Macaca mulatta: one gene and its partners. The protein of the gene in region 1 interacts with the protein of each later gene in a pairwise test. Links are inferred from orthologs where the notes say so. Each region holds a gene or a part of one and is shown on either strand. Other genes may lie near its edges.

Region 1 (5,293 bases):
CACGCCAAAACTACCAACGAGCGTGAGGATGGCACAGACACCTGCAGACACATCGCCCTCGGGAGGCGACCCCGCACAGGGCTCTGCAGAAGCAGCCTCAGGAGCTACTAGCAGGATGGACGGGGGGCCAGAACAAGGGAGACCTGGGCCTCCATCTCAGAGAGGAGGAGGGAAGCTCGGGAGGCAGGCACACAGCAGTCCCCCACGGAGCTGACCAGGAGAAGGTGTCCTGGGAGACGTGGGGTGGCAGGATGAAGAGAATGCATACTTTTTTTAAAAAAAAATTCTTAGTTCTGAAAGCTGAGGGAATGCATACATTTAAGAATATTGGGAAATGTTATTTTTTGGAAAACAAAGGGGAAAGAAGAACCTAAAAACTCCTCAAAAAATAAGAAGTAACACAAATGTCTCAAAGCCCCAATATTAAACAATAAAACATGGGAGAATGGAATGTAAGAACAAGCCACATTTGACCCTGACATTGAGAACACATCTGCAGCTGGCACAGGTGCCGTGGCACTGGGCCCACGGCCACCGCCACAAGCTGGCTAAGCAGGAAAGAACACTGACGCTGTTTTCATCAAGGAAATGCTTTTGTTTGCCGACTTTTATAGTCAACCTACAGACAGACTGGGGGTCTCATTTCCCTTCTGTCCTGTCACCACGGAGAGCAACAAAACGGGGAAGCCGGCGGGCCAGGGGGTGGGATACGCAAGCGGGTGGCCATCCAGCCCAGGCTTCGTGTTGGGAAGTCTGGCTTAAGTCTGTTATTTAAAGAATGAGAAATAACACACAGCACTACGCAAACCTGGGAGGAGGAGGAGAAGGGGAGAGGGAGGGACCGGCACGAACGAGCGAGATCGCCCTTCGTAGTGTCAACAGAGAGGCCTATTCAAATACACTGTTTAGATAGTTCAGTCACTTACATCTCAGTCTGTAACAGGCAGCACAGCTCAAATGATTTAAAGTGCTTTTCTACAGAGACTCGGGTGACATGCATCAGGCTAGTGGTCACCCTTAGGGGCTGGAGAAGGCTGGAGAGTGACAAGGGGGGTCCTGGCAATGCTGCTACCTCAACTGGGTGTGATTAGATGGGAGCGTGCACTTTGCAAAAATGCACTGAGCTGACCTTACATAACTTGTGCACTTTTTATTCATGTTTTTAACTTTTCTTTTTGTAGACAGCACCCTTCTGCCCGCTGCACCTTCCTAGTGTATGTTTTCTCCATAACAGTTTTCTAAAGAGGCACCAGCACCTCTGGGCAGTTGGAATTGGGTTGGGGTGAGAGGTCAGGGTCTCTGCTAAGCCTCCTGTGCTCTCTGGCCCTGACAGAATGTATGCACCATCCTCCCACCACAGGGCCCGGAGCATTAAAGCGCGGCATGGTCCCTGAAGATGCCTGCCAACCAGACAGACCTGAGGCAGCTCCCCACAAAAAGAACGGACACAATACCAGTATCTGATTGTCTGAGTTTTTTTGAAACTTCAATTCCATTCTCTTCTAACTTCCTCTTTGCACAGTCCTGGCATGCATTACCTGAAAGAGGAAAATGTATTAAGCTTGTTTATTTAGAATCCACCCGCCGAGGCACAGTTTATAAATGTGACCTTACTGAAGCATAGGCCAAACAGACCCTGCCATCCCCTGCAGATGACACTGACCGCACTACGGCTTCTCTCCAAAGAAAGCCATGCTTCCGGGAGTCGCATTTCAGTAAGAAAGCGACTGTAATAAAGACGTCCTTTCGCACGGGAATAGGTGGATGGGAAGCTGACTGCGGCGGTTTTATACTTCCCGCACCACTAACATGGATGTGATGCGAGCAGCTCCCACATCGATGCGCGTTTTCTCATCTGTGAACGCACTGGGCCAAACAGGCAGGGAAAACGGGGCTGCGCACAGAGGCCTCCGCGCCACTCACCAGAGTCCCTTTTACCCAAATGGCTCAGCAAGGGGAGGCACCTGGTGCCCAGTTCACACACAGGAGGACGCTTGTAGCCACCAAGTCTTGTTAAATGTATAACCAGGCAGAACTGAGCCCAGCAATAAGAGCGTTCACATTTCAAACAAGGATTAAATAGAAGCTTCTGTGTGAAAGCTCAGACCCGTGCAATGAACGCTGCGGAAGAGCTGGGTCATTCTAAGGCACTGCATCTTGCCCCACAAGGTATCCCACAAATAGAACCTGTTCCAAGTCCCCTGTCACTCTTGGTTCTAGGGCAAGAAATTATTCTCAGGTGCCAGCTGGCCCACGTGTGATCCGGCTGTGCTTCCTCGTCAAAGGGATGGCTTTTAGTGTCTCGGTGTGGCAGGCACCATGCTAATGCATGGCTATTTATCATCTTCAGTGGGGCTGTCTTAATACAAGCTAATTATTTAAGGTGAAAAACAAACGTTTATGATTTTACAGTGAATGACAGAAGACAATGGAATGTGTAGGCAAAAAACAGGCTGGCGAGAAGAAAGATCTGCTTTACCCAATAATGTGGTGCTGTCCACTCGGTCAGCATCTGAAGGAGAAAGAAAAGCAGTCAGTGGAGCCGAGACACCCAGAGCTCGTCCTCCTCAGCCACTGGCAGGCAGTGACTAGGAACGGCAGTGACTGGCAACAGGCTTCTGGGCAGCTCGGCCCACACGGACGGTGGGCTCCTGGGCCGCCCGCTGCCCTCTCTTCTGCACCTTCCAGGCTTGGTGCGAGGACTCGCTGAAGGCGCCAGCTGGCACAGGGAGCGTGGCGTGGTGTCCGTGGTCGCTAACATGACTGTCACTGGCATGGGCCTCCTCTCCCATCAGGAGTGGCACTCCATGAATTCGAGTACAAATGTCCTTCATGACAGTCACAGATTAAAACTCCCAGTGACCTTGCAGTCTTCCGGCAGCCTGTCGAATCCACTTGCCTGCCCCAACCTGGAAAGGGAGCCTCAGCGGGACAGAAAGCTGCTCAGCCCCACTCCAGGAGCCCGAGCACATGCAGGGTTGCTCTGGGCCCTGTTCTTCGGGGAGTGTGGGGGTGGAATGAGAAGCGGCGGACGGGGGCAGACATGAGGAAAGCCCGCTGCCTCTCTGCAGAGCCACGCACTGGGCTGGTGCCAGGACGCACCAAATGGTGTATTTTGCTCTGCAGTCAGGCCAGGATCCCAATCCCAGCTTCAAAATGTCTGGGCGCTAACTGGGCACGTTGTGTGCCTGTGCCAGCTCCACTCGTCTCGTCTACGAAATCATCTGCTTACTGGCGCTGCGTGCTGCCACTGAAAACCCAACTAAGGTAAGAATATGGAACTCCTAGTAGGGGGTGACACACGGCAAGCAGGAGCTCCTTTCTTCTGCCCTTAATAAGAATTATACTTTTATTTATGGAAATGGAACTTACATTGGTCCATTTTGCTAATTATTAGCAATTTTGAAAAGAAATGATAGTGGTTAAAAAAACAAGAAAAACCTGAGCTGTTGGATTATCTGTGCATTCTCTAGTCTCCAAGTTCACAGCTGGATACATACACCTGCCTCTGTGGCTAACCTGGTTCCAGTGTATGGTGAGTGTGCCTGGGTTTCCTGTTACAATTAAATGAGCCAGCACAGGCCTTTCCAAGCTTGCCATCATCAATGTTTTATGATGCCAAACTCGCAGCTATTAATTCCCTTATGTCAAGATGACCAAGTTTTAAAATTTCTCAATTATCCTGGTCATTCCTGATAGATGAGCAATTTCTGAAAAGGGCCAAGGAGCACTACTTAAAAGAGGTGCTGCATTCAGAACAGGGACATTCAGAACAGGGAAAATACATCATTTGAAAAAAGAAGTCAAGTGTTCATCATGAAATCAGGTTGTGCTTGTGAAGTTGTAACTTTTCAACTGCAGTGACAGGACACAAATATGAGGTATCTGCATCTTTCAAGTGTTAAGTATCACAACTGATAAAGCTAGCCTGGTAGTTTTCTTTCTTGGTTAAGGAAACCTGAAACAGGAATAAATGTGTCCAGCTATACATATGGGTACAGTTGTAAACTTCAAAGTTACTTTATGTTTTGTGTTTGGAGACAGGGCTTGCTCTGACATCCAGGCTGGAATGCAGTGGCCTGACCACAGCTCACTGCAGTCTCTAACTCCCAGGCTCAAGAGATCCCCCCACCTGAGCCCCCAGAGTAGCTGGGATCACAGATGTCCACCACCAAACCCAGCTTTCTTTTTTTTTTTTTTTTTGAGACGGAGTCTCGCTCTGTGGCCCAGGCTGGAGTGCAGTGGCACGATCTCGGCTCACTGCAAGCTCCGCCTCCTGGGTTCACACCATTCTCCTGCCTCAGCCACCCGAGTAGCTGGGACTACAGGCGCCCGCCACCACGCCCGACTAGTTTTTTGTATTTTTAGTAGATACGGAGTTTCACCGAGTAAGCCAGGATGGTCTCAATCTCCTGGCCTCGTGATCCACCCGCCTCAGCCTCCCAAAGAGCTGAGATTACAGGCGTGAGCCACCGTGCCCAGCCCAAACCCAGCTAATTTTTTAAAACATTTTTGTAGAGACCAGGTCTCCCTATGTTGCCCAGGCTGGTCTTAAACTCCTGGGCTCAAGCAATCCTCCTGCCTTGGCCTCCCAAAAAACTGGGATGACAGGCATGAGCCACCGCATCCAGCCTGAAGTTAAAGTTCTAGTTACAGACTGTCACTAGGACACCAATTACTCCAATCTTCTCATTTTAAATTACAGATGCAGTTTTTAAAAATAACTGGAAGATTGGTGAATTTTCTGGATACGTGAATTACATCAAAAAGAGAGAGAGAGCAACAACTGGAAGAGCCCTGTGAGTTTCGTACTTGAAAAGCGAAGGCAGCCAGGTGCGGCGGCTCATGCCTGGAATCCCAGCACTTCAGGAGGGCGAGACCAGCCTGACCAGCATGGTGAAACCCCGTCTCTACTAAAAATACAAAACTAGCCGGGCGTGGTGGCACATGCCTGTAATCCCAGCTACTCGGGGGGCTGAGGCAGGAGAATCCCTTGAACCCGGGAGGTGGAGGTTGTGGTGAGCCAAGATGGCGCCACTGCACTCCAGCCTGGGCAACAAGAGCGAGACTCCATCTCAAAAAAAAAAAAAACAAAAAGAAAAAGGAAAGTGAAGCCAGATCCCATACCTGGGCTTTGCTGTTTGCAGATGTGAGTGGCAAGGTCTTGCACATATCCTGGAAAATGGTCAAAACAGTCCCCGTAGGATACAACTTTGATTCCGTGCAGAAGCATATCTGCCTGATGCTTAAAGAAATGGTCTTCATTCTCCTTCAGCACCAGCATGTAGTGCTC
Region 2 (5,929 bases), on another chromosome or scaffold:
GGGAACTTCTGATATTCCTTCAAAATGGATCATTTCTATTTCCCACAGTGTAAGGTTCTGTGCTGTTCACTCTTCACCAGAAAAACTCCTCCCTATCCTATAAAACCCAGCTCAGAAGTCCAGAAAATGACCCTGCACAAAGCCACAGAGGAAGTCACATCAAATTCCGAAGAATCTTCCAGACCATGATCTCTGACCACAACGCAATATAATTAGAACTCAACAAGAAAAACATAAACCTCCCATAGGCTAAGAAACTGAAAAACACACTTCGAAATCATTCAAGAGTTAAAGAGGAAATTACATTGAAATTTATGAACTATTTAGAACTGAATGATAAGGAAAACACAAGCAGTTTCCAAATCATTTCCCCTGTGAAGTCGGCCCTGACCCCACATGGTTCCTCAGATGGCTCTCCACCCTCCACCCATTTCTACACCCTAGGAGGCTGACATCTACAGGCTGCAGCGACAGGTTCCCTTGTTCTTAGCTTCTGGGAGGATTCAGCTAGTGGGGGAAACCTGGCCAGAGATCAGAGGGAGGGAGAGAGGGAGGAGAGTGAGGTCTCTTACTTGCCCCCCGTCCTTCCCTATATGATTGCTGTGGGCTGGGTATACCCCTCCACCTTAGGCCACAGCTGCCCCCTCCTCAGAGCTCCCACTTTCACCACTCCTTTCCTACACTCCTGCAGCCTAGGGTTGACAGCCTCTGCTCTTGTGAGTCCTTTGGTGATACACTGTCTGTGTGGTTTCCCTACACCTTGACCCTACCTGTAAATAATGTCTTTGTTAAACATACCCGTTCTGGGTGTTCTATGTACTTCCTGCAAATACCCCTACTCTTACAAAGTCCATTAGTCCACAACCACATTCTCACCTCTGGGTGACTGAGCTCTGACCTTGTGTATCTCTCTGTGTTGTTCCCTCTACTGACCTGTCAGCACCTGAGGTCAGCAACCAGGTCAGCTTCATCACCCAATCCCCTGATCTGATATGAGTGGAGAGTTATACTTAATAAAAGATATTGATTAGGATATCAAATAAAGAAGCATATTTTAATTTGCTCCATAAGCAAGTGTTTGTTTATAGGGGATTCAGGGCAGAGAGTTAAGAGTCAGACATAAAAATACAGAGAACTTTAGACTGGGGCAAAAATTGGTGCTCAACAAAAGAACATATCCACAGTTCTATGAGCTGGGATTCATTTTTTATTTTTATTTTAGGTTCAAGGGTACATGTGTAGGTTTGTTATATAAGTAAACTCTGTGTCATGGGGATTTGGTGTACAGATAATTTCATCACCCAGGTAAGCAGCATAGTACCTGATGGGTATTTTTGTCTCATCCTCCCTCCTCCCGCCCTCCCCCCAAGCAGGCCCCAGTGTCTGCGGTTCCCCTCCTAGTATCCACGTAGTCTCATTGTTTAGCTCCTACTTATAAGTGAGAATATGCAGTATTTGGTTTTCTATTCCTGTGTTAGTCTGCTTAGGATAATGGCCTCCAGCTCCAGCCCATGTTGCTGCAAAGGATATGATCTGGGTTAAGGATCTAGCGTGTTCTCATGTCATCCAGCAAACAGAAGGTCCAGACACAAGGAGTGTCCAGTGTGCCATAGTAAATGCCCACCTCTGGCCTCTAGCTCTCCCCTACCCCTCCAGAGTGGCTTTTACAGCTAAGCTCTCTGCTTTGGTCTTCCTACCTAGAAGGCCTCCAATCTTCCCTCCCATCCCAGACAGAGCAGCCAACTGGTCCCTGGGCCTGGGGGCCACAGTGTGCACTGAATGCTGGTGAGATATCTCTCTGTCTTCGAAGGAACCCAGGTGATAGGGAGAGCAGATCGGATCTTGAGTGGTTTGGATTTGGTCGGAAGGAAGGAGGGAGAGAAGGTATTCTAAAATGGAACAGCTGGGATACAGGTCTGGAGGTAAGAAATGGGGTGACTCTGGGTGAGGAGCAAGGAGAATCAGCCCAGCCTGAGCCAGGCCCCCTCCCTGGTGAGGAGATGAAGTTTGTGATTTGAGGCTCTTCTGGGCCTGTCCCTCAGGGGTGAAGGACTCAGCTCATGATTCCCAAGGCGTTCATTCATTCCTTCACTCAATCATTCATTCATTCATCCATCAAGTGGGTTTTGAGTTCCTGCTATGTGCCAGGAGCTGAGGATATGGGAGTGGATAGGCCAGTCCTGATCCCTTATCGGGTCCCGGGACAAGTGTGACGCAGACGATTCTAGGAGGGCAAAGAAACCACCCTTATCTAGCAGCTCTTGTTTCTGCTCCAGAAGAAGCCGAGTTTTTCCCCATTTTACCGTCTGGGAACCTGAGGCTGCCTCCTTGGTGGAGGTCCAAGGAAGCACTGAGGGGGCGGGCAGCTCAGTCCTTTGTCCAGGGGGAAGCTGGGAGCCCGATATGGACTTTCCGGGAGGGTGGGGGCGAGTGCGTCTGTGTACTGGGGTGGAGGGGAGTCCCCTTTCTCCGCCCCTCCCCGCCCCGTGGCCGCGGCGTGGCGGGCCCGGGGCGGAGCTGGCGTCACCCGGGCAGGAGGGCGGCCGCAGCCGGCAGGACAGGCAGACGGACAGGCTGACAGGCGAGAGAACAGGCACTGCGGGACCGGCAAGGGAAGGGCGACCCTGTGGCTGGGAATGTGACCCCGCGGCCAGAGGAGGACCCGTGAGTGTGCGCCGTGCCCCTGCGGCCTCGCCGCGCACCCCGCCCGCCTGGCTTCCACTTTCATTTCTTCGGCTGTCTCGGCGTGGCACGGTCTGGAGGAGAGTCCCGCCCGAAGGCAGACTGGCCGCTGTCTTGGGGCTGGGGTCCAAGGCTCAGAGCTTCGAAAGTTGGGGTGGGGTTGGAGGGGGCGGTACGGGGCAGAGGGGAGGGGTTGGGGGGCGTGTTTTCGGGGAGCGGAAATGTCAGGCGGGCTCCTCTGGGTCCTACGACCTGCCTGGCCCTGGGAGCTGGTTGGGGGGGCAGGGAAGCCGGGGGTGGGCGTGGGTGGCTGCGCGCCTCAAGGAGAGCGTGGAGTCTTCGCCTCTACTTTTTCTCTTCGACTTCTGTCCTGAAGAGCGTCCCAGGCTGGATTCTGGGTTCAAACTGGGGCCATCCTCTGGCCCAGGCCCAAGGAGTGGTAGATGTAGCCTAGCAGGGAGCTAAATATCAGAAACAGGGAGGGTCACCCTGCTGTCTTCATCTGAGAAGCCCACATCCCCACCCAGGGAATGAGCAAGCCACTGCCACTCCAGGAGTGAAAGGATAGCCAGCACTGGGAAATGGGGGCTAGGAGGGGGAACAGCAATGGTTCAGGGAGGGACAGAGGTTTTGTGACAGAAACTCAGTGAGGGCATGGGGGTGGAGAGTGAAGGGAGTTAACCCTGTGGCTAGAAGAGTACCTGCCTTGCACCCACCCCCTGAGCTTACGTTTTCCTGGAAAGAGACCCAGGCCTTGAAGTTCCACAGGAGTAAGGTGGAACTCTAGCTCACTGGTCAGGACATCCCAGTTGCTGTGCGGAGTCAGTGTGTTGGGGACAGGAAGCAGGTTGGGCTGTTTGGTGGAGAAGATGCTTCCACTGTCCCTCCACTCCCCTCCTCTTCTCTGTCTGCACCAGACCATTGATAAGCCAGTGTAGGAAAATGGTGTTTTACCCTTGGTCATGAGCTGAGCCCCACCTCCTCTCAGTTCCCAATTCTGCTTGTAACTTGCTGTGTGAACACAGGCTCCTCAAGTCCTATTTTTAGGCCTCAGTTTCCTCATCTTGGCCTCAGTTTTCCCATGTGTACAAGTGAGCTGGGCCAGTTGATCTATCAGGGCTATTTTAACTCTAAGATTCTAGTCTAAGCTTTCCTTCAAGTCTGAACACTGACTTTGTGCCAGGCCTTTTCCTAAGCTGGGGCTGGGTTGGGGATGGAATGGAGACTGCGATGACCAAAAGCAGCCTCTACCCAAGGAGAAGGAGATCTGAGTTCAGGAGAGGAGGCTGTGGGAGGAGGTAGCAGCCAATCTGAGGATGTATGGTCAGGCAGGTGGAGGTATAAGAAAACATGCAGAGGCAAGAGAGTGGGGGCGTGTTCAGGAATCAGGAAGAAGCCCAGGGTGGTTGGTGTGGGGAGGTGGGAAGTGGGGCAGGAAAGGTAGGACAAGGTGCTGAATGCCAAGGTGGGGGCCTATTTCTAACTGTCATAAAGGGGGTCATGCAATGTGGGGAGCCCAGGAGCCCCGCCTAATTGCAGTGTGAGGGATTTGGGAAGCACTTGCCCCAAGCAGAGTTTAAAATGGAGATGGCAAGTGAAGCGCAGAAATCTCCTCTTTGCTCAGGAAACTGGGGTCCCACCCTGGGGACTTCTTTGGGTGAGAAGTTGAAGAGTCAGGATGGATGAGATGACCTTTCACATCTGTGAGTTTTTTTCAAGAGAACAAGTTCCTGCTGAATGGCCTGTTTCTACCCTCCAAGCTGCTCTCATTTTACCAGACTGCCCCCATCCTGGCCTGCCTTTGTGGGTTCAAGGAAGGACCTTTGTCTCAAACATCTCCCCTGCTAGTTTGACTTCTTGCCAGAATACCCCTCCCGCAATATGTGCCTTCCCTTTGCTTTTACCCAATTGTCACCTGGTTCCCACCCTCCCTTCCCCAATCCTGTCCCAGGGTTACCAGAGATGTGAGAAAGGACAGTGCTCTAGCATCAGTCAGAGGTCAAGCCCAGGCTTTGGCCATAAGCAAGCCTCAGAGTAGGGCTAAAGGCTAGAGTCAGGGCTCACACTTGCCAGAGCCTAGGTCAGAGGTCAGCCTGGAAAAAGAAGGCAATTCTTAGCTTATACTCAGCCTTAGTGCTCAGTCTAGGGGCAGGGTCAGTGCTTAGTTTGTGGCTAAATTCTAGTTTTGGTAGGTACATGGGTCTGCATTTCCCAGTAGCTCACACACTCACAGGTGAGATGAGATGACTCAGGTCTTAGAAACCTAGCTATAGCAGAGTGACCCAGGACCTGGATGGGCCAAATCCATGGTGATACAGGGGTCACCCAGTAAGCCAATGGTAGAGCTGCGACTAGAACCCAGGAATCCTGCCTCTGAGCCTAGGGCCCTGATCACTGTCTCCCGAAGTCTGCTCTGAATCTGGGATCCTTAAATTCTAGGAGGCAAAGCAAATTTGCCTGAGGTCTACATGGGCCCTCCTGGATAAATCTGATTATACTCTTCTACCTCCCAGTGCCAGGCACATAGTAGTTGCTCTAGGAATGTCTACTGAGTGTCAGGTGCAAGGGGAGGGGCCAGTGGCTTGTTCAGAATTGGGGCCGGAGGAGGCTGGCTTCGGGGGAAGGATCTCCAGCTGTTGTCAGAGGAAGCGATGCCCTCATTGATCTGCCGCCCTCCCCCTCCTCCAGTGCTTGCAGCCACACTCAGAAGCCGCCCCGCTGGCAGCCGGAGGGCCCTTTCCTCTTTCAGGGTGAAAAAAAAGGAAAGGACATTTTTGGTAGAAAAGTTCCCTGCTGCTCCCTGGGAATCCCCGGTGGCCGGATAGACTACGGGATATCCCAGAGGAAGCCGAAAGCCATCCCCCACCCCCTCCACCCTGCCCCCAGCACAATGCTGTGAGGCTTTCCCACGCTGCACCAGCTGGCCAAGGGGGCTCCTAGAGGTCATCTCGTCCAAGCCCCTGTCTGCTGGTGGGCCTGCAGGGAGCCTCTGCTACCTCTGTCATGACTAACAGCAAGTCCGAGGGGCACCTGTTTAGAGCCCAGGCCCAGCTCTGCAATGAAAGCAGAAAAGAGACAAACAAGATGTGGGGCTTAGCAAGGGGGACTAATGTAGCCTGGAAAGAGGGTGGGGCACTGGACCTAGGGGTTGAGGATTTAGATTCCCAGGCAGGGGATGCAGAGGTTGAGCAAAGTCTGAGAGGTGACAGGGAAATGATGAATTGGGAAGTCAGACTCCAGATGATAA
Region 3 (6,057 bases), on another chromosome or scaffold:
AAAAAGAAAGCCCACACTCACTCTAGGCTAATGTAATCGATGAATTATAAAAATGGCCATAGTTGGGCCAGGCGCAGTGGCTCATGCCTGTAATCTCAACACTTTGGGAGACGAGGCAGGCAGATCACCTGAGGTCAGGAGTTCGAGACCAGCCTGACTAACATGGAGAAACCCTGTTTCTACTAAAAATATAAAATTAGCTGGGCATGGTGGCACATGCCTGTAATTCCAGTTACGTGGGAGGCTGATGCAGGAGAATCGCTTGAACCCGGGAGGTGGAGGTTTTGGTGAGCGGAGATCATGCCATTGCACTCCAGCCTGGGCAACAAGAGCGAAACTCCATCTCAAAAAAAAAAAAAGTGATAGTTTTCATGAGCTTGTTGATCTGTATCTAGGACTACAAGGAAGATAGGCATGCTACAGACATTTGTATCTAGCAGTGGGTGCTACTGTAACATGTGGCATTAGCTTTGGACTAGATGCCTGGAAAAGCAGTGGGGAAATTGGTAGTGAACACTGGAACAATGGTGAGAAAAACTACTGGAGGTGGACAAATGGTGAACGACTCTGTGTCATGGTGAAGGATTTGTAAAATTGTTTCCCTTCAGTAAGATGGGCAGAGAAAAAGGCAACTACTGAATTCTGGGACTTGAAAAAAATCATCTCAGTATAATGTTGAGATTAACCTGTTTTTCTTTTGCTTGAATATGTTGAGACACTTATAGAAAAGAGTGTGGTTAAAAACAAACAAATTCGCTAGCAGAATTTAGAACATACATTGGGTTGGAGCTGGGGAAAGTATTATTAGACTCTATAGTTGGTAACAAGGTCTCAAAGTAAGTCATAACCTGGGCCAAAGATCAAATTCAGAGTGGTGCTAGTAAAATATGGCCTTAAGAATAATGCTGAAGTCAAGGTGATCTCAATGATTTAAATGTTAACTAGTATACCCTTTCAGCAATATACAAATATTTATTAAAAATCTTAGAGCGAGGCTTGTTTCAACAAGATTAGTGGTAGTGTTGGCCAGGCGTGGTGGCTCACACCTGTAATCCCAGCACTTTGGGAGGCCGAGGCAGGCGGATCACAAGGTCAAGAGACCCAGACCATCCTGGCTAACACCGTGAAACCCCGTCTCTACTAAAAAATACAAAAAGTTAGCCAGGAGTGGTGGCAGGTGCCTGTAGTCCCAACTACTAGGGAGGCTGAGGCAGGAGCATGGCATGAACCCGGGAGGCGGAGCTTGCAGTGAGCCGAGATCGCACCACTGCACTCCAGCCTGGGAGAGAAAGTGAGACTCTGTCTCAAAAAAAAAAAAAAAAAAAAAAAAAAGACTAGTGAGAGTGGCTTCTGGGGCATGGAGAGCACCTGAATCGGATGCTTGAGAAGCCCACAAAGTTTTTAAGGGACTTGTAGTGAACAAAGCACCACCAGCTGCAAAAATGTGGAGAGAACAGTTTAGAGTGAAAAAAGATCTGTGGGTCCACAATTTGCTAATGACAGGAAGTAGGTTGAGAAAGTGTCTCAAAAGCCTTTTTCTTCAAAATGGCCAAGAAGGTGCTGGAAAAGGAGGGACACCCAAGAGGGCAGAGGCAAGAGTTGTGCGGAGATACAGCCTGGGGAGGCACTCCCAGGAAGCAGAACTCGGGCCTGGTTAAGGAGAACTTCTTATTCTTGTAGGGCCTGAAAACAGCTTCCAATAGGATTTGAGAATTGCTCTGGCCCCGTGATTGCTCTGTCTCCTCCTCTTCTCATTTTCACATGCAAGTATTTATTGTGGTTATCTGGTCCTGGTTCACCATCATATGTTGGGTGCATGGGAGAGAAAATTCATCTTCTTAGTTTGTAAGTCTCTGAATCAAGAGAAGCTGCACTGGACAAGCCAATCTAAGACAGACCATGAGATCCTAGATTTTGTGCCTGATGCTGGGATTGTAAGAGGCTTTGGGGGATCTTGGGATGAACACTGGAAACTAACCATAGTTTGGGTTGGAAATATCACTCTAGTTTGGAGATTTTAAGGCATCTTTGGCTTTTCTAAGTGCAAAGATTAAGTAGGCTTACCTTTAGCGACCTCAGACTTAACGCCACCCGAGACACCCACACCCATGACCACATTTTGGACTTTCTTTTTTTTTGAGAGAGAGGGTCTCGCTCTGTCGCCCCGGCTGGAGTGCAGTGGGGCAATCTTGATTCACTGCAACCTCCACCTCCCGGGTTCAGGCAATTCTTCTGTCTCAGCCTCCCAAGTAGCTGGGGCTACAGTCGCACGCCACCACGCCCAGCAAATTTTTATATTTTTAGTAGAAACGGGGTTTCACCATATTGGTCAGGCTAGTTTCGAACTGCTGACTTCATGTGAGGCACGCATCAAGTAGCTATCAGGTCTCTCCAGTTACAGCGGAAAAAGATCCAGAACCAGCCCTACCCCGTCTAGAGGAAAGGACGAACATTAGGCAAGCACTTGGAATCGTGCGAAGTGCACGCCATCAGATCACCTTGGTGAGTGAACCGCCAAGCCCGAAACACCGAAGGCCACGAATCCCAACCGGGAGGACGGTCACAGCGCCTGCCGCGCATGCTCAAGGCAGGCTCGCCTGGAGCATGCGCAGTAGGTGAGGGCTACGTCATCTGTCGGCGTCCGCGCCTGGCGTCAGCGACCGGTGCAGACAGGAAGAGGCTCTAGGCGGGCACATGTGTATGGCGGCGAGGCGGGCGGGTACATGGCGGGCTCTGTGGGACTGGCGTTGTGCGGGCAGACGCTGGTGGTGCGGGGCGGCAGCCGATTCCTGGCCACCTCCACAGCAAGCAGGTGAGGGGGCCTTGGTCTTGGAACAGGGTGCCCAGGCTGCGGGCGCGCGTCGGGTCCTGGCGGCCCCGCTTCTCCGGCACCGCTTGGTCGCACCTGCTCTGGAGTGACCTCGGGGAACCCCGCTCCATCCTGCGAGCCCTCCGCCGCAGTCTCCGCCTGGCCGCGTGTCTGCGCCTGGAGGGTGCGTTTTCGGCGCTCCCTCCCCGGCCGCTGGCGCGCTCCTTGCCGTAGATGGCTGGTCTGCGGTGTTCTTGCCCGGTTAGCGCTGGGTCACTTCCGGTCTCCGCGGCGCCGGCGGGGACCGGGTGGGCAGAGCACGTGGGACGTTGCTGACCAGTCAGCAAGGCCCGGCCGAACACGCTCTGGAGAACTGGGAAGAAGTGGGTCTCGGGTCTCCCTGGTGAGAAGGGAGGGGCTAATGGCGAGCTCACTGACCTCCGAGCGCGCTCCCTCTCCTTGCAGGGGTTGCCCGTTCCCTCTTCCCGGTCTGCATCCACTCACCCGGCCTTAATTGCTCCTTAACGCTCCAGGTCATCTCCGACACTTACTTACTCGACCCAAGGGTGCACGCAGAGCTCGCAGCGCGCACCTCCTAGTGGCCCTTCACACGGCTCGGGTTTTGCTTTCCGTAATTTTATTCTCCTTCGTTAGTGTATCGCCAGTGCTAGGACGACGCCGGGGATTTTTAAATTAGTTAATGTTTGTTGATGGAATAGTCTTAACTCAGGACTCTGGGAGCAATTAGTAGTGCTGTCAGTTTCAGCCCCTCGTTTTCTTTCCCAGGTTATTTGTGATTTCATACTTGAAACGGACGACGCGTCTGTCACATGCACTGTATATTCTTCGTTTGGTTTCAGAAAGCCAATTCGATGTTAAATTAGGTCTCACAAAAATTGTACTCGGAAACTTGTCACGTATCCCAGATGATTTTGTTTTATACTCCCGGTCTAATACCTGCCAGAGTGAGCTGTGGATGTATTAGACATGATCTGCTTACCTTCAGTCTATGCATTTTGAGGAAATTCTAGTGGTTGGTGGAGTTTCTGACTTGGAAGACAAGTCTACGGTTCCATATGGAAAGTTTTTTGGTGCACTCACTTTAAAGGCTATAAATATGTACAGGATACGTGCTGAGGGATGGGATGGGATAAACTGAAGAGAGTTTAGCGTTTAGGTTCGGTGTGGAAGATGGGTAATTCTTACGTTGGTACGTGCTTGGGGTCATGGGAACATTTTCAGGTAGGTGAGATATGTTTCTAAATAGGTAATGGCTCTTTGAAATTTGTATACAGAATCCCACTGAAAACTCAACAGTATCAGAACATGATTTCTGTTTTTTTTTTTTTTTTTGAAACGGAGTCTCACTCTGTAGCCCAGGCTGGAGTGCAGTGGCCAGATCTCAGCTCACTGCAAGCTCCGCCTCCCGGGTTCACGCCATTCTCCTGTCTCAGCCTCCCGAGTAGCTGGGACTACAAGCGCCCGCCACCTCGCCCGGCTAGTTTTTTGTATTTTTTAGTAGAGACGGGGTTTCACCATGTTAGCCAGGATGGTCTCGATCTCCTGACCTCGTGATCCGCCCGTCTCGGCCTCCCAAAGTGCTAGGATTACAGGCTTGAGCCACCACGCCCGGCCAGAACATGATTTCTTATAACCATGCCGCATAGATTTTCTGGTGCCTGAGAGAATAGCATAGTAATTCCTGTTGAGTATTTATCCCTCATTTGTTTTACTGAACTTTTTTTTTTCCCACAGAACTGTGCAGGTAGTGTATGACATATTCCAATAAGAGATTAAGCAAATAAAGTTTGTTAACTGTTCTCTGAAATATTGTATCTAGACAGTTTTCTTGTCAAGGAAAGACTTTTAATGAGTATGCAAATATTTTTTGTTCCACAGAGAAAAAAAAATCAACATTTTTTTGTTTTGTTTTATTTTAATAAAGTGCTCCTTTACAAATCATTGTTAGGCAGGCGGAGCATGGTGGCTCACGCCTGTAATCCCAGCACTTTCGGAGGCCGAGGCAGGCGGATCACCTGAGGTCAGGAGTTCGAGACCAGCCTGACCAACATGGAGAAACCCATCTCTACTAAAAATACAAAATTAGCCGGGTGTGGTGGTGCATGCCTGTAATCCCAGCTACTTGGTAGGCTGAGACAGGAGGATGGCTTGAACCTGGGAGGCCAAGGTTGCAGTGAGCCAGGATTGCACCATTGCACTCTAGCCTGGACAAGAGTGAAACTCCGTCTCAAAAAATAAAAATAAAAATCATTGTTAGGCTGGGTGCAGTGGTTCTACCTATAATCCCAGCACTTTGGGAGGCTGAGGTGGGCGGATCACCTGAGGTCAGGAGTTTGAGACCAGCCTGGCTAACATGGCGAAACCCCGTCTCTACTAAAAATGCGAAATTAGCCGGGCATGGTGGCATATGCCTGTAATCCCAGCTACTCGGGAAGCTGAGACAGGAGAATCACTTGAACCCAGGAGGCAGAAGTTGTGGTGAGCCGAGATCGTGCCATTGCACGCCAGCCTAGGCAATGGGAGTGAAACTCCGTCTCAAAAAAAAAAAAAAGAAAAAAAATATTTAAAAAGTTGCTATTTCTGTCTAATGGTAACTCCTTTTAAAATCATTCTGTTATTTCTCTTTAGTGACGATGACAGCCTCTTCATCTATGACTGCAGTGCTGCGGAAAAGAAGTCACAAGAAAATAAAGGGTGAGATGTGGGGAAGCTTTTCAGGGCCTGATTTAATGTTCGATAATGGGACCAGAGGGTCTAAGAAGCGATTATTGTCTTGCTGAATTCTTAGCTTCTGTCCCACAGTGGTGCGGGTAAGTACCACCTCAGCAGAGACATGTAAAAGTAACTTTCAAGTTAGGCATTAAGAGTACATTGTTGGCCAGGCGTGGTGGTTTATGCCTGTAATCCCAGCACTTTGGGAGGCCAAGGAGGATGAATCACCTGAGGTCAGAAGTTCCAGACCATCCTGGCCAACATGGCGAAACCCTGTCTCTACTAAAAATAAGTTAGCTGGACGTGGTGGCAGGCACCTGTAATCCCATCTACTTGGGAGGCTGAGGCACGAGAATCTCTTGAACCTGGAAGGTGGAGGTTGCAGTGAGCCAAGATTGCGCCATTGCATTCCAGCTTGGGGAATAGAGCAAGACTCCGTCTCCAACAACAACAACAACAACAAAAAAGAGTACAGTGTTAGTGCCAGGTGCGGTGACTCATGCCTATAACCTCAG
Region 4 (5,838 bases), on another chromosome or scaffold:
AGTGATCCTCCCACCTGGGCCTCTTAAAGCAATGGGATTAGAAGTATGAGCCACTGCACCTGGCCCAGGAATAACCTCTAAGATATTTTATAAAGTGAGAAAAGCAGGGTGCAAAACTGCATATAGTATGCCTTTTGTTTAAGAAGGAGAGGTCAGGGTAGGAGGGAGACCTACTTTTCACTGTATGCTACTTTGTGTTATTTGAAAATTAAACAGTAGGCACATTGGGATTCCACCTGCAAATCCTACACTTATCCAAGGTAACTTCTAGTAACATTGGCTGTAGTTGATTTCAGGCTTATTTTTATGTAAATACACGGAATGTATGTATATCTTTATGCAGGAACTACAGTCTGGCATATTTTCTTCTCTTTAATAGGCCTTTATTTGCGATCTTTAACAGATCTTCATAAAGCTGTCTTCTCTTTAAATTGCTGTCTCTAGGCTTAGCCATACCCCCAACTCCTACCCCTAATTCTCTAAAACATGCCGTGGGTGGCTCGCCCTGTGCACTGTTGCCTTTGGGAAGGATTTCGTTCCCTCATGGCCACCCTCCACCTTCCCTCATGGCAATCTGGCTATCCCTAGCCCCAGTGTAAAGTTGCACCCAGGACTACCAAGATGCTAAGCCTTGCCTCTACAGGACCTAATGTGCCAGCACCCTCCTTCCCTCTCCTCCTCGCCCCCATCCCTTCCATCTTTAGGGAATTCCTGGCAGGTTGGGTAGGGGATGAATGGTTAAGGGGTATTTTGTGAGCAGGGGAAAACCCAGTGCCAGGGAGGCCAACCGAGGGCCTAGCAATTAGAGAATACTTATATATTTTGGTGCCTACCATGTGCCAAGCAATGTGCTTAGAAGTCTGCATACATTACACGTATTCCAACAATACCACAAAGTAGGTTTCCTGGAGGGAACCATGTGTCCTTGTTTGCCTGAAACAGTCATGGTGTTTGCCTGTTGTCCTGGCAAAATTATTAATAGCATCTCCTTTCTCTAGCAAAAGGTTTAGATAAAAAAAATTGTATAGTCACCTTAACTGTCCCCATCTTATACGTGAGGATATTGAGGCTTAGAGAGGTAAGTTCATCTGCCCAGGGTCACACGGCTGGTAAATGATAGAGCTGAGATTAAAACTCTAGTCAGTATGGCTCTGTTAGGGACTGAACTCTGACATGGACATGAATGGTGTTCCCCAAAATTCCTATGTTGATACCCTAACCCCCAATGCGACTGCATTTAGAGACAGAGCCTGTAATAGGGCGATAAAGGCTAACTGAGGTCCAGATTATTGCCTCCTCCCCAGGCCGCCTCTCTTCCACAACCACCCCCACCCCACTGCAGTCAGGGCCCTTCCTCCTCTGCCACGACAGCTCTGCTAACCCGGCACTATCACTGCTTGCGTCCTTCGCAGCCTCCTGCTACATCTTTTACACCGCTGCGTCCTCGTTGGCTGGCGCTCAATAGACATTGACTCGGTGAATAAATGAGTGAAACTGTCCTTTTAGGGATGGATGAATCTGTCCTATTCAAGGCGGTGCCCTTTTCTGGTATTCCCTAACACAAGCTTGACCCGAAGTAGGCGTTCTGAAAAAGGCCGACAGTCGATGGAGGCCAACGCAGCGCTCCTCTCACCTCCTCTCTCCGTCCAGGCCGGGTGACCATAAGCGCGGCCAGCGGAAAGGAGGCGGTGCGGCCGGCAGGGTTGAGGCCCGGAGGGGGCGGGGCCTCCCTCGCGACCTGGCCCGGAGAGGGTGGGGCTTCCGGGAAGGTGCCTCTAGCACGCACTCTCGGAAGCGCAGCCGAACCCGCCCTCCGAGCCCAGAGGCGCTGCTGCCACCGCCGCCCCGCTGCCGCTGCCTTAGTTATGCCGGTGAGTGGTTGCGCCGTGCCCGCCACGCACACTTGCAGTCCCCGGGTTCCTCCTTGGCTGCACAACAGCTTGACCGGATGCTTCTCTTGAAGGGCTCAGCTTACCCCACCCAGCCCCCAGCTTTTGCGACCCTTCAGAAAATGGGATCCGAAGGGAGTTTAATCTAGGAGCCAGGCTTCAAAACGTCGGAGCTGGAAGGCCTCCAGGGGCGACAAGCCCACACCTTTCCTGCGTACACGGAGAAACAGACCCAGAGAGGGGGCAGGGGGTCGCTCAGCAGGACGCGGGGAGTTGGTGGCCAGCGGGAACTGAGACGCCTACTCCCTGAGCCTTCCTCTTGGCTGCCCCGCCCGCTTAGCTGGCCTGAAGGAGGGCGGGAGGCTCTGGGCATGGGGATGGACCCGGTTATTCCCTCACGGACCGGGCAGGTTTTCAGAGGTTCATGATTTTTTCTAAATTTTCCTGCCACTATGGCTTACTTTTCAAATCAGCTCTGGGCGACTCTGAATGGAGACACTTTGTCAGCCTGAACCCATAAGCCCCAGAGAGGTTCAGGAACCCCCCTCAAAGTCACCAGTTGCTCAGTGGCAAGAGTCTGGGAAGTCAGTCTGAGCCTGCCTTTGCAGATCACTCAGTATATTGTTGCTCGTGGTCTCGTTTTTTATATAAAAAAGAATTGAGGGCTTTGACAGATAAAAATATAAAAAACCCAGTAACTTATTCCAGGTCGTGTTGAAGTTGGCAGAGCCAGGATTCAGCTCCTTATCCTTAGGCTCCCCATCTCTCCAGGCCTGACCACATCGGAGGTGCCTGGCAAAAGCAGTCATACCGGCTTGGGAAGATGCTCTGATCTCAGTTGCATCTTGGTTAGGGTCATGTGGTGTTTAGCATTTTCTTCGAGGTGCGTAATTCATGGCTCTGGGCCAGGTGGATATCAAGAGGTATCCCACAGATGCCATGTGTCTTAGCAGCCTGTCCTTTGGGAGCTGACAGGTGAGCCTGACGCCCCCTGGGCAGAGCCACTAACATCTCAGGTGTCATTTCCCTTGGACCTTGCCAGGTGCCTTGAGACAAATCCTCCAACAACAAAGTATGGATAAGGAATCTGACAGAATCAGCCCTACCAGTTGAGCAAGTCAGCCTGTGGCAATGGTAGAAGACAGTATTAATCTCCCTGGGACTTAGAGAGTGAAGGTCACCAGGATTTTTTGTGGGGGGTGGCAGTGAGGAAAAGTCCAGCTTGATCATCAGTGTATTCTGTATCTTCTGGGGATTTTGACAAAAGACCCTCTGGAGCAAATGATGGGAATGAGGAGGGCGCTTGGCACCATGTACCACAAGATGAGCAGCTGAAGGAAGGAGGGTGTTAGTCAAGGGACTGCCTTAAAACTGGAAAGGGAAGAAAAAAACATATATATATGTTAATATGTATATATACTGGGAGACAATGCGAGACTCCGTCTCAAAAAAAGAAAAAAAAATCGTCCCACTTACTTCGCCCAGGCTGATCTTGGCTCACTGCAAGCTCCGCCTCCCGGGTTCACGTCATGCTGCCTCAGCCTCCTGAGTAGCTGGGACTACAGGCACCAGCCACCACGCCCAGCTAATTTTTTTTTGTATTTTTGGTACTGACGGGTTTCACCATGTTAGCCAGGATGGTCTTGATCTCCTGACCTTGTGATCTGCCTGCCTCGGCCTCCCAAGGTGCTGGGATTACAGGCATGAGCCACTGTGCCCGGCCCCCACTTACTGACTTTTAAAACCTACTTTAAAATCTACCCATTTTATAAGTCTTTATGAAAGACCCCAGAGGCCTTGAGGAACCAGAACTACCCAGTTATGCATCCGGTGGTAGAGCCAATCTTGAGCTTCTCCTATAAAGAAGTGATTACTCTGTCCATGAAATAGTTTTTCCATCACCCTCAAATTTATTTTTGCCCCTCAGAGGTGGAGGAGGAGAGCACTGAACTGTAATGTTTATACCCAGCAGCTGATTTCTGACTTCTGACCTTTATACTGTAGGGGATGGGACCTACTCCCTATAATCAGCAACTGAAAGTTTCAGGTATTTGTTGACTTCAGGTCCTTGGGCAGCAAAAAACTGTGCTCCCTAAAAATGTATTTCTAGTTTCGGAGCTTCTGCTGAGAGTCACGGTTATGAGAGCTGGTGGTGTACTTTGCTATTCCAGAACGAGCAGGATTTCCCTGGAGCGAAGAAAGCCTAGGTTCATATTCCATACTCAGTAGGTATTTGCCACATGACTGCAGGCCACTTAGTGAACTCTTGGGAACTTCACTTTCCTCCTGAGTGAAATAAGATAAATAGCTTTCTTTCCAGGCTCAGTGAGGACTAGCTTAGATACTGTATAAAGACAATTTGACATATAATAGACAATCAGTAGATTTAGCTCTTAGGTTGATCTTGCAAACCCTTCCAAACTTTGGCTCAGTATATAAGTGCAAACCATTGATTAATCAATTTTCTGCTGGTTATCCTAGAGCAAGACTCAGCAAATTTTTTTTTACAAGGCCCAGATAGTAAACATTTTAGTCTTCACAAACCACAGGATCTCTGGTACAACTACTCAACCCTGCCATTCTAGTGCAAAAGTAAACAAGTGAGTTTGGCTATGGTTTTTTGTTTTTGATTCTTTTTTTTTTTTTTTTTTTGAGACAGAGTGTTGCTCTCTCGCCAGGCTGGAGTGCAGTGGCATGATCTCGGCTCACTGTAACCTCCGCCTCCCAGGTCAAGTGATTCTCCTGCCTCAGCCTCCTGAGTAGCTGAGATTACAGGCGCACGCCACCGCTACCAGCTAATTTTTGTATTTTTAGTAGAGACGGGGTTTCACCATGTTGGCCAGAATGGTCTCGATCTCTTGACCTCATGATCCTCCTGCCTCTGCCTCCCAAAGTGCTGGGATTACAGGCATGAGCCACCACACCTGGCCTCAGTTTGGCTATGTTTTAACAAAACCTTTTACCTTGTAAAACAGGTAGCTTGTATTGTGCCAATCCATGTTCTAGAGCATCATCATTTTTTTTTTTTTTTTGCAAAACATTTTTTTTTTGTTTTAAATTAAATGGAGCCATGATCTCACTGTATTGCCCAGGCTAGTCTCAAAATCCTGGGTTCAAGTGATCCTCCCATTTCAGCCTCCCAAAGTGTTGGGATTACAGGTGTAAGCCACTGCACCCAGCCTTTAGATTTTTATTTATTTATTTATTTTGAGACAGAGTCCTGCTCTGTTGCCCAGGCTGGAGTGCAGTGGCATGATCTTGGCTCACTGCAGCCTCCGCCTTCTGGGTTCCAGCTATTCTCCTGCCTCAGCCTCCCAAGTAGCTGGGATTACAGGCACCTGCCATTATGCCTGGCTAATTTTTTTCTATTTTTAGTAGAGAGACAGGTTTTACCATGTTGGCCTGACTGGTCTCGAACTCCTGACCTCAGGTGATCTGCCTGCCTCAGCCTCCCAAAGTGTTGAGATTATAGGCATGAGCCACATTGCCCTGCCTAAAAAATTTTTTAATAGAGGAGAGCATCATCTCAACTGTAATGTGGGCAGGAATGACTTGGGTGTCTTGTTAAAATGAGGATTCTGATTCCGGACTTCTGGGAAGGGACCTGAGATTGTGCATTTCTGGCAGGCTGTCAGGTGATGATCGTATTGTTCGGTTGAGGACCACATTTTAAACACAAGATTTTGTAATACCTACTACAAATCATTCTTTCCAGAATTTGTTATTGTTGCTGTCTTTGAATAGTCATGAAACGATGAAAAAATCAGAGATGTTTAGAAGAAAGACTGACCATTTTCTTTAAGGCAGACTTTGCAGATTTGGCCTTAATAAAAGTAGTAGTTTACTAGTCACAAAGGTCATACAGTCTACACTGGAAAATCGAGCTGCTTAACTCTTGGTCTTGGTTTCCTCTGTAGAGCACAATGACAATCCAGACTCAGAGGTGTTT

What was found.
Region 2: the proteins of FAM118A (region 1) and MOB3C interact in binary tests that used the Homo sapiens proteins (3 or more experiments, as listed by UniProt). The link is inferred for Macaca mulatta from reciprocal best matches to the Homo sapiens genes FAM118A and MOB3C.
Region 3: the proteins of FAM118A (region 1) and WDR4 interact in binary tests that used the Homo sapiens proteins (3 or more experiments, as listed by UniProt). The two-hybrid records come from large-scale screens. The link is inferred for Macaca mulatta from reciprocal best matches to the Homo sapiens genes FAM118A and WDR4.
Region 4: the proteins of FAM118A (region 1) and ATOX1 interact in binary tests that used the Homo sapiens proteins (3 or more experiments, as listed by UniProt). The two-hybrid records come from large-scale screens. The link is inferred for Macaca mulatta from reciprocal best matches to the Homo sapiens genes FAM118A and ATOX1.

The regions. Positions count from the first base shown.
Region 1 is NC_133415.1:6,138,983-6,144,275, forward strand, and holds part of FAM118A (protein FAM118A), read right to left. Parts: coding exon 5,128-5,293; intron 2,513-5,127; coding exon 2,480-2,512; intron 1,539-2,479; coding exon 1,455-1,538; intron 1-1,454.
Region 2 is NC_133406.1:193,971,905-193,977,833, forward strand, and holds the start of MOB3C (MOB kinase activator 3C), read left to right. Parts: upstream 1-2,510; 5' UTR 2,511-2,664; intron 2,665-4,219; exon of another isoform or gene 4,220-4,385; intron 4,386-5,929. UniProt on the Homo sapiens protein: May regulate the activity of kinases.
Region 3 is NC_133408.1:4,614,374-4,620,430, forward strand, and holds the start of WDR4 (tRNA (guanine-N(7)-)-methyltransferase non-catalytic subunit WDR4), read left to right. Parts: upstream 1-2,665; 5' UTR 2,666-2,723; coding exon 2,724-2,812; exon of another isoform or gene 2,813-3,212; intron 3,213-5,458; coding exon 5,459-5,524; exon of another isoform or gene 5,525-5,531; intron 5,532-6,057. UniProt on the Homo sapiens protein: Non-catalytic component of the METTL1-WDR4 methyltransferase complex required for the formation of N(7)-methylguanine in a subset of RNA species, such as tRNAs, mRNAs and microRNAs (miRNAs).
Region 4 is NC_133411.1:160,688,035-160,693,872, reverse strand, and holds the start of ATOX1 (copper transport protein ATOX1), read left to right. Parts: upstream 1-1,784; 5' UTR 1,785-1,865; coding exon 1,866-1,871; intron 1,872-5,838. UniProt on the Homo sapiens protein: Binds and deliver cytosolic copper to the copper ATPase proteins. May be important in cellular antioxidant defense.